2 linked regions of the Diceros bicornis minor genome follow. The protein of the gene in region 1 interacts with the protein of each later gene in a biochemical or structural test. Links are inferred from orthologs where the notes say so. Each region holds a gene or a part of one and is shown on either strand. Other genes may lie near its edges.

Region 1 (7,918 bases):
TTTGGTCCCACTTTCCTCATCTGTATAACAAGGAGGTTGGATTTGCCCAAGGTCACAAAGCTAATAAGTGACAGAGCTAGAATATGAACTTGGGTATTTTGGCATCAGAGCCCAATTTTGTAGTCGCTGTGCTCGTCTTAGTGCCAGTTCATGGCCTGTTTCTGTTCCTTTGCTGCCTTACTGTGGGCAACAAACATTTATGTTGCCTGTGCTCCTGCTATTTTCACCTACCGGATGTGTAGGTGCCCCTGTCTCCTAGCTTCCTGCATCCTTGCTAATCCAAGGAAACCCTATGACCTTTGGGGTAAGGAATGGATAACAAGGTGAGAAAATGAGGATGGTGGCTCAGGTTCTGGCATGTTTTTTTGAGGAGTGGAGCCACAGTAAAATAGAGCCAGAGCAGCCATTTCAGATTTTCTTTATCTTCCAAACTGTACCAAACCACCAACATTCCAAGGAGTCAGTAAGGACAAGAATATCCTGTCTGTAAGAACTGATGGACCTGGACTTTGTTGATGACTGGATAGCTAACCAATCAATGACGTACAAATGTAGCCTTTTGCCTGATGATTGACCCTCAGGCAAAGTACAAACCTAGTCTCACCTCATCCAGCACCAATGAACTCTTCTTTAAGATAGTCCACTTCAGGGGCCGGCCCCGTGGCTTGGCGGTTAAGTGCACGTGCTCCGCTGCTGGCACCCCGGGGTTCGGATCCCTGGTGTGCACCAACGCGCGGCCTCTCAGGCCATGCTGAGGCCGCGTCCCACATACAGCAACTGGAAGGATGTGCAGCTATGACATACAACTATCTACTGGGGCTTTGGGGGAAAAAAAAAAATAAAAATAAAAAATTAAAAAAAGATAGTCCACTTCATCCTCCCTTTTTCCCATAAAAACCCTAAGCCCCTCTCCTGTTAATGGGAGACTATTTGGGTTTCTACCTGAATCTGTGCTCCCCAAATTGCCATTCTTTGATCTCAAATAAATGCTTTGTTTCTTAAATTGGTTTCTGTTTTTGTAGGTTGACAGTGGGAAAATATATATAACATAAATTTTGCCATTTTAACCATTTTTATGTGTACAGCTCTGTGGCGGTAAGTATATTCATATTGTTGTACAGCCATCACTACCATCCATCTCCAGACATTTTTCACCTTCCCCAACTGAAACTCTGTACCCATTAAACAGGAACCTTCCATTCTTCCCTTCTTCTAGCCCTTGGCAATCACTATTCTACCTTCTGTCCCTATGAATTTGACTACTCTAGGAACCTCATATTAGAGGAAACATATAATATTTGTCCTTTTGTGACTGGCTTATTTTACTTAGCATAATGTCTTCAAGGTTCATCTATGTTGTGGCCTGTGTCAGAACGTCCTTTCTTTTTAAGGTTGAATAATATTCAATTGTATATATACGCCACATTTTGTTTATCCATGCATCTGTCTATAGACACTTGGGTTGCTTCCACCTTTTGGCTATGGTGAATAATGCTGCTAGGAACATGGGTGTAAAAATATCTCTTTGAGTCCCTGCTTCTACTTTTTTTGGGGTAGATATCCAGAAGTAGAACTGCTGGATCAGATGGTAACTCTATGTTTGACTTTCTGAGGAACCACCAAATTGTTTTCCACAGCTGGTGCGCCATTTACATTCCCACCAGCAATGCATAAAGGTTTGAATTTCTCCATATCCTCACACCAACACTTGTGATTTTCTGTGTTTTGGTTGTTTTTTTTTTTAATAATAGCTCTCATTGTGGTTTTGATTTGCATTGCCCTAATGACTAGTGATGTTGAATGTTTTTTCATGTGCTTATTGACCATTTGTATGTCTTCTTTGGAGAAATGTCTACTCAAGTCTTTTGCCCATTTTTAAAATGGATTTTTGTTGTTGAGTTTCTAGAATCTTTCAGAGCTTCCTTTCTTTTTTTTTTTTTTTGTGAGGAAGATTAGCCCTGAGCTTACATCTGTGCCCATCTTGCTCCACTTTATATGTGGGACACCTGCCACAGCACGGCTTGATAAGCAGTGCATAGGTCCGAGCCTAGGATCCAAACCCGCGAATTCTGGGCTGCCGAAGCGGAGCGTGCGAACTTAACCACTGCGCCACCAGGCCAGTGCCTTTCAGAGCTTTCTTACCTCTAGAAATTTTTGTGAGACTTGGAGTTGTGTGGATGATGTCTTCTCAGCCCCTGGGCTGCCTTCTGGCAGGACCCTTGTCTCTGGAGGATGAAATAACCAGAGTTTCTCATTCAGTCTTTCAGATTAATTAATTAATCAAATAATTCATTAATTGTATCATTATCCAAAGAGTCACTCTTTGGATAGATCAGATTTCCAGGCTAACACAAAAGAATATGTGCTTATATATTTATGTGAAGCTCAAGAACTGTCAAAGTTGATCTACAGCACTAGAAGTCAAAATAGTAGTTATCTCTGGGGGAGCAAGTATTGACTGGGAGGGCACATACTGGAGGAAATAAAAGGAACTTTCTGGTTTGATAGTTCTGTAACTTGATCTGGCTGGTGGTAACACAAGAACATAGGTAAAAATTTATTACTTAAGACGTTTGCATTGTGCTGTATGCTAATTATACCTTGCTTTCTAAAAGTTAAAAGAAAAAGCTTTAAAAAAACTTTTTTCTGATGGGAGATTCCTCAAAGAATTAAAAATAGAGATGCCCTATGATCCAGCCATCCCACTACTGGGAATCTATCCAACGAACCTGAAATCAACAATCCAAAGAGGCTTATGCACCCCTATGTTCATTGCAGCATTATTCACCATAGCCAAGAAGTGGAAGCAACCTAAGTGTCCCTCGACTGACGACTGGATTAGGAAAATGTGGTATATATTACAATGGAATACTACTCAGCCATAAAAAAAGACAAAATCGTCCCATTTGCAACAACATGGGATGGGCCTGGAGCGTATTATGTTAAGTGAAATAAGCCAGAAAGAGAAAGACAAACACTGTATGATCTCACTCATATGTGGAATATAAACCAACACATGGACAGAGAAAACTGGACTGTGGTTACCAGGGGCAGTGGGGGTGGGCACAAGGGGTGAAGGGAGTCATATATATGGTGATGGACAAACAAAAATGTACAACCCAAAAATTTCACAATGTTAGAAACCATTAAAACATCAATAAAAAAAAAAAAAACTTTTTTCTGGGCTCTGATAAATCCTTTTGGTGTTAATTTCACAGGCTCCAAGGCCTGAGGTGCCCCCTTGTGGCCGCCTGTGGTTCTCTTAATTTTTCTCGGCCCTCTTGGGCCCAGCACCTAGCACAGTGCCCAGGATTCACACAAAACAACAAATACTTATTGGGGCCTTCTCTGTGACAGGCACTGTGCTATGTGCTGAGGAAACAGCAGCAAACAAGATGGTTAAAGTCTCCTTCCTTACGGAGTCCACAATCTAGTGGTGAAGACAAGGAATAAACAGCCTAGTGCCTCCTAATGAGGACAAGTATGAGAATCTGCCTGGGGAGTGGTCAGGGAAGGTGTCCTTGGGGTATCCATGTTTGAGCAGGGATCTGAAGGCTGTTGAGTTATCTCTGACGGAGGAGAGCATTTCAGGCAGAGGGATCAGCATGTGCAAGGGTCCTGAGAAGGGAGGCAGTACAATATGTGAAGAAGATGATGGCAGTTACAGTCTAGAGAGAGTGGAAGAGGGCCCTGAGAGAAGTCTGAAGATGTGGGAAGGCAACAGTAAGATATTTATTTGGCCTTTATCTCAAGAGCAATGTGGAGCCATCAAATAGTCTTAAAGAAATGAGGGACATGATCAGATTTCTGACTTTGAAATAATACTCTGACAGCAGGATGAAGAATAGATTGCAGGGAACCAAGGAGGATGTGAAAAGGCCATGGATAGCTACTGCACCAGTCCAAGCACACAAATAAATATTTGTGGAAGGACAGGACTCCAGACTCCTTTTTGTAGATGAGACCAGTATGCCTGAGCTGTGCAGTTTACAATCCACCTGCTCATATTCTATCTTCTGTGATGCTCATAACAGATCCTTAACTCTCATTTTAGGGATGAGAAAGTTGAGGTTCAGATGCAAAAGAAAATCACAGCTATCAAGAGTGAAAGCCAGATCTGAATCCAGGCCTATATGACAGGTATCAAGCCCAGCGCTGGTGAGGGTTCCCTACATTTGGGGAGAGGGGAGGGGCCGCACTCCCTTGTTCACGCAAGAATTATTTTATTGAGCACCCACTGAACTTGCAAGCCTGACGGTAATGGGAAAAGTAGAGAGGAGCTTATAATAATAATAAAGGTTAACTATCTTTATCACCATTAACGTTATTAGACACTATGTGTCAGGCACTGTGCCAAAGGCTGTCCATGCCCTTATTTCCTCTTCGCAAGCGCTATTATTATCCCCATATTTCAGATGGGTAAACTGAGGGTTGGAGAGTTGCCTTGCCCAAGGACACTCAGCCAGAGGGCTCCTATAGGGCTGTGCAGAGCTTCCCAAGTGAGGATAGGAGCCACCGCCGATATTACAGTGCCAGGCGGCATACAGAGATCCACTGGATCCCGGCCCTAAGCACTCTGCACCCAAGTGAGCGGGCGCGCGCTCCCGGGGACGTTTGGTCACGTGACCCAGGGCCCCGCCTCTGGGTCCGCCCCGCCCCTCCCGCGCTCCCTCCCTCTCGCCCTCCCTCCCCCTCCCTCCCCGGCCCGGTCCGGCCCATCCCCCTCCCCGCCGGCTCCCCGAGGCCCTGCCGGGTCGGGCTGCGGGCGGCCGGGCGCCGACGGCCGGAGAGACGGGCGCACGCGAGGACGGACGGACGGACACACGGAGGGCCGCGGGCACGCACGGCCCCGGCCGGTGCTCCGAGGCCCGCCCGGGAGGGCTGGGGCCGCGCTCAGGTGAGGTGACGGCGACGCGGGCCCGTAAGGGGTGGGCCCACCGGGCGTCCACGGTCCCAGCCCGGCTGGCGCCGCTGGAAGGAGGTGCCGCCCGGGCCCGGCGCGGGAAAATGGCGCCGGCCGACCGTGGAGCACGGCCCCAGTGCGGGCCCGGCCCGGAGCCGCCCCGCCCGCCGCGCTCCTGTCCCCGTCGCCATGTTGGGGAGCGGGCCCGGGGCCTGCGGGCGGGGGCGCTGGAGGGAGCGGGGGCCCGGCTGGGATTGGGGAGGGTGCGGGACGCGGGGTCCGGGGCGCTGAGGGAGTGCAAGGCCGGCCGGGGTCTGCACGGGGTGGCGCTCCAGGCCCGAGGTACTGGCGGGAGCCGGACGTGGGGTCGTGGCCGGGGTCGCGGAGAAGGGACACTGGGTCCACACGGAAACGGGATCGGGGTCCGTGGGGCTGGGGGACCAGGACCGGGAGCTGTGTTAGGCTATGGGCAGTGTTAGGACCCCAGAGCAGGTAGGACCCGGAGGGGCGTGGGGTCCAAACTCAAGCTGTCAGGGCTGGGGACACTTCTTTGGTGGTGGTGGGAAGAGTGTTGGTTAGAAATTGGGCCCTTTGGGTACAGACGAGGATAGCAGATTGGGGCAGTCGTCGGAGTCGCGGGGCTGGATTGCAAGTCCGTGTAACTCCCAAGGGACTGAGGACATAGGTGCCCCGAGGATCCTCCACTCCCTGCTGGGGAGAGCAACAGGAAAAAGGAAGGCTTTGATGAGGAAGGGGGAGAAGGAGGGCTGAGGTTTGGATGAAGGAGCTGGTAGCAAAAGGGGTGCAGAGAGTGGAACTGGTTGGCAAGAAGAGAGAGAACCTCCATCAACTTAGGGAGTTTGTGTGTCTTTAAAAGGAGGGACTGGGCTGTTTGTGGGCGGTGACCCAAGGTGTCTTCCCAGGAAGGGGACAGCCCACTGTTTTAAGAGCAGGGTCACCTGGGGAGGTCATCAGAAAGGCGTTATTGAAGCTAGTAAGAATGATGAAGAGGAGTGAATATATAAAAACTACAAGGGTCTTAGGGATCCTGTAACAGTTTCAGATCATGTAGTGACTTGAGCTGAGACCTAGAAAGAAAAAGTTGACTTCTCAGGATCTTACCGATTAGTGGCAGAGGGGGTCTGCTGCCTCCTCATTCCATATACTACCTTAGAGGAATTTGTTAGTTGGGAAAAAAGTGTGAAGTCAATCATGGCAGTATAGATCAAAGAACTATTAATTAATTTTGTTTTTGTAATAAGATTGTCAGTACAAAGACTGAGGGGGATACAAAAAAGTATAGGTAACTAGCTATTTGATAATTTCTAGCCCACCTCCATTTGTGCCAAGAAATTATCTGCAGGACACTTGTGACTTCTAACTTTCTAGAGTTTTAAGAGAGGCTCCTTCTCTTCTAGGTGTTTACTACACAGCAAAGGGACACAGAAAGCCTAAAAAGATAACCGTGAACAATGGTAGAGACCTAGGATCTCTATCATGATCAAACTTTAATTGAGGTTTGATCATGATAGAGAAGAGTTCAAAGTTCATATGGGCTATGAGAGAGTTCTGAGGGAAACTATGCAAATCAGTCATGATATAGTAGTTCCTGGGCTCCCATATAATCAAAAAGGACTTTCAGCAAAAAGATTATGAGGACGTTCATAGCAATAAGATTTTCAATATACAGTATATTCAATACGTATATGCCATACATTTATACAGCAACAGGATTCATTTGTTCTGGATCTTTCTAATGCAAGAAGGCCTAACCTTGTCTGTGCCATGGGCCCCTTTAGCATCTAGTGAAGCTTATGGGCCTCTCTCAGAATTTTTTTTTTTTCCTCCCCAAAGCCCCAGTACATAGTTGTATATCATAGTTGTAGAGTTGTAGCTCTTCTGTGTGGGATGCCACTTCAGCATGGCTTGATGAGCATTGAGTAGGTCTGCGCCCAGGATCCATACTGGCGAACCCCAGGCCACCCAAGTGGAGAGCGTGAACTCAACTGCTGCACCACTGTGCAGGCCCTCTCTCAGAATATTTTTAATTGCATAAAACAAAATACACTGGATTACAAAGAAAACCAATTATGTTGAAATACAGTTACCAAAATATACAAATTTTGATATAGTAATATAGAGATACTTCTTTATCAGCACATTAAGAAATCAGATCTAGTGATGAGTCTGATAATTACAATTTTTTTATTGATGTCATAATAGTTTATAGCATTTCGAAATTTCAGTTGTACATTATTGTTTGTCAATCACCATATAAATGCACCCCTTCACCCCTTGTGCCCACCCCCAACCTGCTTCCCCCAGTAACCACCAAACTGTTCTCTCTGTCTGTGTGTTAGTTTATCTTCCACATATGAGTGAAATCATACGGTGTTTGTCTTTCTCTGTCTGGGGTATTTTGCTTAGCATTATACCCTCCAGGTCCATCCATGTTGTTGCAAATGGGATGATTTTGTCTTTTTTTTTATGGCTGAGTAGTAGTCCATTGTATATATGTACCACATCTTCTTTATCCATTCATTTGTTGATAGGTACTTGGGTTGCTTCTACGTCTTGGCTATAGTGAATAATGCTGCAATGAACATAGGGGTGCGTAAGCGTCTTTGGATTGTTGATTTCAAGTTCTTTGGATAAATACCCAGTAGTGGGATAGCTGGATCATAAGGTATTTCTATTTTTAACTTTTTGAGGAATCTCCATACTGGTTTCCATGGAGGCTGCACCAGTTTACATTCCCACCAGCAGTGAATGAGGGTTCCCTTTTCTCCGCAACATTTGTTATTTTTTGTCTTGGTGATTTTAGCCATTCTAACAGGTGTAAGGTGATGTCTTAGTGTAGTTTTGATTTGCATTTCCCTGATGATTAGTGATGTTGAACATCTTTTCATGTGTCTGTTGGCCATCTGTATATCTTCTTTGGAAAAATGTTCATATCCTCTGCCCATTTTTTTTTTTTTTTTTTTTTGTGAGGAGATCAGCCCTGAGCTAACATCC
Region 2 (7,631 bases), on another chromosome or scaffold:
TATCTTCCCACTGCCCCCACAGAAGAGCTCCAGAAAGAGACCAGCCAGGATGGTGAAAAAAAGAATTTGAACCAGTCCTTGGAGTATTTCTTCTCTAACACCCTGAAGGATGCCTTCCCTCTCCACATTCCCAGCGCAAAGAAGAAGTGAGGGGGCTGGCCCCGTGGCTTAGCGGTTAAGTGCGCGCGTTCCGCTGCTGGCAGCCTGGGTTCGGATCCCAGGCGCGCACTGACGCACCGCTTCTCCGGCCATGCTGAGGCCACGTCCCACATACAGCAACTAGAAGGATGTGCAGCTATGACACACAACTATCTACTGGGGCTTTGGGGGGGAAAATAAATAAATAAAATCTTTAAAAAAGAAGAAAAGAGGGGCTGCGATCCTGAGGACTGGACAGTGGCAGGGAAGGGAGGCCAGTCTGCCATTTCTTTTTTTTTTTTTTCTGAGGAAGATTAGCTCTGAGCTAACATCTGCCAATCCTCCTCTTTTTCCTGAGGAAGACTGGCCCTGGGCTAACATCCATGCCCATCTTCCTCTACTTTATATGGGACGCTGCTACGGCATGGCTTGACAAGCGGTGCGTTGGTGCGCACCAGGGATCCGAACCAGCGAACCCCAGGCCGCCGCAGCGGACCACGCGCACTTAACCGCTTGTGCCACAGGCCTGCCCAGGCTGCCATTTCTTTTGCACCACCTCTCCCTCCAGGCACTGAGAGCTACTCTATCCTCTTGGCCTCCACACCAGCCTGTCCCATCATCCCCTTTAACTGGACCGAGAGGGCTGCAGTGTGGTAAGGCCCAAACTCTATGGTAAAGGAGACTGCCCCCCGTCTCTCCTTTCATCTCTCCTCCTGGCAAAGGCAAAGTGAAACCAGAACCTGGCACATAATAAATGCTCAAAAAAATGAATGAATAAAAGTAGGAGAAACCCTGAAAGACAACCTGGAGAAGGTGTCGGCTTCTTTTTCCACTTCTTGCCTCAGCTATCAAAAACAAGGCTCAGCCAGGCCTGAGTCCCTTCCCTGGCTACCTCATTTGTGATTCATAACCAGGGCACCTGATGGGACAAAAGTGATTGACAGGGGGGCATTAAGTGGCCACTTTACTCTTAGCAGGGCAATTGTTGGCTAACTTCCCAGTCTTTCATCTTTGCTAGCCACTTGATCCCCAATTCCCATAAAATGGCCCCCCTTTCCTCCATTTCCACCATTTTTTCTTGATTGAAAGATCACTAAAGGGTGAAACACCTGGGTTTGAGGTTCTCTTAGCTGGTGGTTCCTCAGTTTCCTCTGTTGTCTTTTTTTTCCCCCCCAAAGCCCCAGTAGATAGTTGTATGTCATAGTTGCACATCTTTCTAGTTGCTGTATGTGGGACACAGCCTCAGCATGGCCGGAGAAGCAGTGCGTCGGTGTGCGCCCAGGATCCGAACCCGGGCTGCCAGCAGCAGAGCGTGTGCACTTAACCGCTAAGCCACGGGGCTGGCCCTCCTCTGCTGTCTTTCCAGAACTCCCCAATAAGGGGGGCTGTGTCTGCAGAGTCAAGGGGTGTCTGCTGGACACCTTATCACTTGCTGACATCACCCAGAGCCCAGGTGGTCAAGAGGAGATGGGGGAGGGGAATTATTGAGGCCCAGGCCACAGAGCTAGTTCCAGGGCAGGCTGGTAGAGGGACTGTCCCCTGTTCCCCCAAACTGCTTGGGGCTTATTGGCAGGGGTAGAGGATGCTGTGTGGGGTCTTGGCTTCCAGGCTTATAGGGGAAGCTTTTCAGGAAGATATCTGGATCCCCTGGTTTCTAGGGGTGGGAACATTGAGAAATCTTGGGGTGCTTCCTAGCAACAATCTGGGAGGGAGGGAAGGAAGAAGAAAGAGAAGGAGGGGCTTGGGCATAGCTGCTCCTATGGGAGCCCAGAGAACAGGCTGTTCCTGCTGCCTCCTTGGCAACCAAAATCTAAGAGGGAGAGGGCCAACAGGCATATCCCCTTGGAGGGTCTCTATCCATCCTCACTTGTGCCCCACCCTCCTGCTCTCCTGATGGACTCAGCCCTGAAGCAGAGGTTGGTGGGGGAGGGGGTGGAGAATGGGAGGAGACAGCTCTGGTGGGGTTTCACAGCAAGGAGAAAACACGAGCTGAGAATGAAATGGCTCTGAGAAGAGCTAGAAGCTTCAAGAAATGGGGGTAGGCAGGGCGAGTGGGGTGGAAATAGGGATGATGCAACACTGGCAGGGGCTATAAGCCCAGACCTGGGCTGGATCCTGGCATCTGGCCAGATGCCTGTTTTGGAGGCAGTGTGCCCTTCACTTTGCCCTTGCCCAGGTCTGTTAGCAGCCCATACTGGGAGCCAAGGAAAGGGAGAGAGATAAGGAAAAGATGGGAATGGTAAACTCTCGTCTTTGAGTTCAAGGCGCCCTATTCTGCCCCTGGGGTAAAAAAAGGTGGATCAGGAGGCACTTCATTTTCTATGGCTCTGGGTCTAGGATTTCAAAAAGTCTCCCTTACCCAATATCATTAGGGCCTTTTGTCAAAGAGAGATGTGGTGAGGGAAGCCAGAATGGAGAGGAGACAAACCATTACACTTTCATCTGCACCCTCTGGACTCTGTCACCCTGCCCTAATCCTCTGCTAGACCTCTCCATTGCCCCCTGGTTCTGCCTGATTGATGCAGAGCATAAATGTAGCTCATCTCATAAATGTATCCTACGCACTGGGATTCTGTCCCAACTACTTGGGCAGCCCAATCTCAAGAGACTATTTCCACACAGGGTAGAGCACGCACCCTGAGCATTGCACACGGCAGCCTTGCTCCCCAGGGTTTCAGCCAAACCTGGTCACCGAGGAGGTGGCATCGACTGGCAGACAGCCACCCTCAGTGCACCTCACAGTGCACACTGCCCTGACTCTACACGATGCAGCCTCCTGCCCCACACTGCAGCTGTTGCATGTCCACTGCAAGCCCAGGCTGAACCCACAGGTTCACTTACTACATGCTGACTCTGCACACTGCAGCCTCAATTCCCCGCTACGGCTGCCACTGCACAATGTAGGCTCCCTTCACCCACTGCATACCTCTTATCACCACCACTCTACTCTGCATCCCGTGGTTTTCATCCCAGCTGCCTTTCTCATCCCCATGATTCTGGGGATCCCAAGAGAAGCACTCCCTTCTCCCCCACGCATTGCAAACCCCAGTACCCCCTGTAAGAGAAGTGGCTCCAACAGAGCTGAGGATGCAGGTGGCTGAGACTAAGACGAGCAAGGGCAGCCCAACTCAGACAGGCTGTTGGTCAGAACGCCACACTAACGAACGGATTCTGCCCAGGATAATCTGGGCGACTGGTAGAGTAGTTCCCATTAACACACACATAACCCTCCCCAAGAGTGAATTGTGGAGACAGGGCCCCGCCCTGGGAGCCATGGGAAGGCTGTGGCCCCTGCTGGTAAAACTGGGCTAATGACAGCAGGGGAACCGGTGGGGCCAGGGGGGTGCTAGGGTAATTAGAGCTCTGCCTGGCGCTGGGAGATCCTGAGATGAAAGGGGCTGTGGCGTCCCTGGGATAGCTTTATGTCCATGAATGCAGGTGTGTGTGCGCACGGGGGGTGGGGCTGGCATGGTGGAGACCTGTCCTTTGGGGAAGGGGATCCATTTTTATGCAGCCTGCCATCCTCCTTAGATTGGCCCTGGTACCATTTGGATTTTGATGGGGGCAAACACGGAGGAAATACCACCTTTGTAAAGCTGAGACTGAGGGGATAGGGCAATCCTTGCCCCCTCCCCAGCTCAGCAAGGGGACCAGATTGTTGAGGAAATGGCTGGTGACAGTGAATAGAAAGAGCCTATATTGGAGGAGGGTGACATTTGAAAGGGGAGGCGGTGGATCAGGTAATGACGTTAGAACTGAGGGGGGAAGAGAGGTAATAGGGAGGAAACCTTCAAAAGGATTAAAAGCATAGGCTGATTGAAGTTAAAGGACCTCAGGGGTCACCTGCCCAGCCCTCACATTTTAAGGTTGAGGAAGCTCTGCCCCCAAGAGCAGTGGTGATCTACTCAAGGTCACAGTGAGTTACTGGCAGAGGAAAGACCCGAACTCAGAAACAAACTCTAAACCTCCTAGGGTTTGGTATTTAGACTTTCTCCCGGACTTAGAAGGTGCAGGAGGCTCATCGATACTCCCTTCTCCATCCGCATGGTGCAAACCCCAAAACCTCCAATTCTTCCAGCAAGCGAATGCTATTTTTTAAATGACATCTTTTCTAAAATATGTCACCAAGTACCACTCCTGCCGGAGACGCCTGGAGTGGGGAGGGCGTGTGCGAGGAGGGCGGGGGCAGAGGCGGCCGAGGGGCGGCCGGGCGCTGGCCGGGGTCCCGGGGCGCGGCAGGGGGCGGGGGGCGGGGGCCGGCGGCGGCGAGGCGGCCTGCAGGGAGCAGCCGAGAGCCGGCCGGGCGCGCGGAGCTCGAGCCCCAGCCCGAGCGGGGCGGGGGAGGGAGGAGCCAAGAGCGACCGCCGCCTCTGCCGGAGGAGCCGCGGGGCCGCCACACTCGCCCCCCGCCCCCCCCCGCGCTCACTCGCACTCACACCCGGGCGCAGGAGGCGGGCGGCCCGGGCCCCACCAGCCCTCCATGGACGCCCCCAGCACGGGGCGCTGAGACCCCGCGTCGCTGCCCAGCCTGGTCCAGCGCGCCACGCCGAGGTACGGGGGAGGGAGCGAGGGGGTATTAATATGCAAATGCATCGCGATTGATTATGCAAAGCCGCGGGGCTCTAGGGCCAGCTCCCAGGCGGGCTGGGGGCGCCCGGGGGTTACCCGCTGCCAGCCTCAGCTTTCCCCGGCGCCCCGGTGACCCTGTCACAGCCCGGGAGCTTGCAACTTACGCCCTGGGGAAGGGAGGTGTTGCTAGGAGGTCGGTGGGCCCCAAGGTTCGCCGGCGGAGATGGCGTCCAGGCCTCCCCCTCGAGGGCCCGCCCGGCCTCTGTCCGGCCCGTCCGCTGAGCCTTCCCGGGCCGGGCCCCGCTGCTGGCCGCCGGAGCTCCCCCGCCCGCCGCGCCGCGGTTTGTTTACGGTGCGCGGGAGGCCTGTCCCCCCAGCCCCCACCCCTAGCCTTCCAGGCCGAGGCCGAGTGGCCTTTGCAAAGCTGCCTCCAGCTGGGGAGGGCAATATGAGTGGGGTGGGGGGTGGACTTGCACGGGCCCCGGGAGAGGAACGTCCCCGTCCCCCCGCCAACCCCCCCCCCCCCGCCACTTCATCCGCCTCCCCAGTTGAGCATGGCTCTCTGGTTGCAACACTCCTAATTGCAAAAAACGCTGCTGGGGGTGAGGGAATGTATTTGAGGGTCCCTAGATGATTAGGGTTGCAAGCTAGGGTGGTTGGGAAAAGGGAGGGAGGAACGGCCCTGTGTTTTGTGTGCCCCCCCCTTTGTTTCCCCCCCCTTGCAACGTGTCTCTGGTGCCCCTTCTCTGGCTGGGGCCCTGCCTTGTCCGGTGTGAAAAAAAGGCATGGGGGTGGGGGGGATGATAGGGGCAATGGAGAGAGCCACCATTTCCAGGGGTGGGAGTCGCAGAAGGAAAGCCAGTGGGCTGGGAGCCCACCCCTCAATGCTGGCTCTGGCCGTAGGAGGAGGCAGGGAAGAAGGGGGCTGTTGTCCAAGATGAGGGGGGAAGCAAATGTGACATGCGGACACAGAGATATGCCCATACAGACAGCCACATGCACACCCAGGGACACCCAGGCAGACTCAAGGACAGGAGCCGCTGGACACACCCACATGGGGACAAGGGGAGAGGCAGGCTGCGGCTGCACGCGGGTGCTTGGAGGGGTGGGACACACCCATGGGAGACCAAGAGCAGGGAGACTGACCCATGCACATACCCACGAACAGGGTCACACAGAGATGCTGTCACACACAGAGACAAGAAGGAGTCACTGTCACCCACACAGAAAAAGTCACTATCGCACGCATGCATGAACACAGAGCAATTGCACACAGCCGCATATTACAAAAGACCCTGTCACTCACAGGCACACACGTGCTCGCATGAGCCCAGTCACACAGGCATCATCGCCTGCTGTGACAGTGATTGTCACTCAGTCAAATGCAAACGCAGTTACACATCAACACATGTATACACAACTTAGCAACAAGTATTTTCCTGGACTCGGTGAGGCGCCTAAGAAAATTAATCTGTCTGAATGAAAAGACTTTACTGCATAATGGTGCAAGGTATGCATTCACGATAACATTCTCGGTCTCCGTCACTTGTCATCCCACCCTGCTAGATGGTGAGCTCCTTGAGACCTGGGAGAATCACTGGAAGAGCTCTGGATCCCATCCAGAGCCTAGCACAGGAAGTGCTCTGTAAATACTTGTTAATTGATTGACTGTGGGAACTCCGGACACAGGTGCACTCATCTGCACACAGTCCCTGCACCCACGGACTCAGGTGCAGAAGGCATTCACAAGGCTCAAGTCCACACAGTCACAGGTCCACGCCAACAGTTGTGTCCAGACAACCCCAGATGCACACACTGTAGCTGTGCAGTCAGACACACCCCTAGATGCACACATAGTCATAGACTCTTTCCCCCAAGCTTCCTCCTGTCTTCTTCCTTTAGGCTCAGCTTTTTTTTTTTTGGAGGGAGTAGAAAGTAGAGCAAAGAGAGTAGGGGGGGCAGGGGGGTTCCAGAGGGCCGAGTCATGGGCCTGAGCAGTTTCCACTGACTTCCAGCAGCTGGGATTATCCTGGCTGCTGGGGGAGGGGGGTGTCGGGGAGAGCTGGCTCCTAGGGAGCGGTCCCTCTCCCCACCCTACAAGCAAACGAGGGGTCTAGCTGCCTCTGCTGGGGTCATTTGTCTGAGCCTTTCCTGGGGCTGCTCACTCGCCCCCAGCTGAGTTCCTGCCTCCCACCAAGAGTCTGGCCCCTCTTCCCACCTCTGCCCTCCTGTCTAAACTTGGAAGCCTTCTTTAGGAGGCCGTATGCTGGTGAGTGTCTGGGTGAGTGATGTGTATTTTTGACTTGGAATATCTCTCTAACGCTGTCTCTCTGCTGCTCTGTCTTGCTGTGTCTGATTCTCCCTCTCCTTGTTTCTCTGCCAGTCTGTAACTCGCTCTCACCCTGTCGCTACCCTGTTCTTGTCTCTGTTTCTGCCATAGTCTCCTTTCTCAGAGCTGGGAACTGGCAGTGATGGTCTTCATACTTTTCCAGTTGTTAATGCTCAAGCCCCACCCCTCGCCCCGCCTGCCCTGCCTCTGGGGTCACTGGGAGGCTGGGGTGGGGGGCGGGGGGCTCAGCTGGCTGCTCAGGACATCCTGCGCTTCCTCAGTGCTGCAGCTGCAGCCAGCAAGTTTTGGGGGCTGGGAATGGGGGGAAGGGAAGGGGGTCAGTTACACCTATGCTGACCTCTCAGGCTGGCAGGCTCAGCCAGGGGACACCAGCTCTGTGGAAGCCCTGGGTGTGCAGGCTGCAGCTAGCTAGCTCCTAAACAAGCCAGTGAGAGGCTCCCCACCATGCTGACCCGCTGGAAAATAATTGCCACCACGGGCAGTGGTGGGAGTTGGCAGGATCCAGCTGAGCTGGGTCCATGGCAGGACTCACAATGGCCTTTCTCCACACCCCTGGCAGCTGAGACCCACCTCA

Evidence for each region.
Region 2: the proteins of NCOA6 (region 1) and THRA form a complex in vitro, tested with the Homo sapiens proteins (2 studies listed by BioGRID). The link is inferred for Diceros bicornis minor from reciprocal best matches to the Homo sapiens genes NCOA6 and THRA.

What each region holds. Positions count from the first base shown.
Region 1 is NC_080758.1:24,788,309-24,796,226, forward strand, and holds the start of NCOA6 (nuclear receptor coactivator 6), read left to right. Parts: upstream 1-4,732; 5' UTR 4,733-4,897; intron 4,898-7,918. UniProt on the Homo sapiens protein: Nuclear receptor coactivator that directly binds nuclear receptors and stimulates the transcriptional activities in a hormone-dependent fashion. Coactivates expression in an agonist- and AF2-dependent manner.
Region 2 is NC_080757.1:39,638,977-39,646,607, forward strand, and holds the start of THRA (thyroid hormone receptor alpha), read left to right. Parts: upstream 1-4,537; 5' UTR 4,538-4,689; intron 4,690-7,631.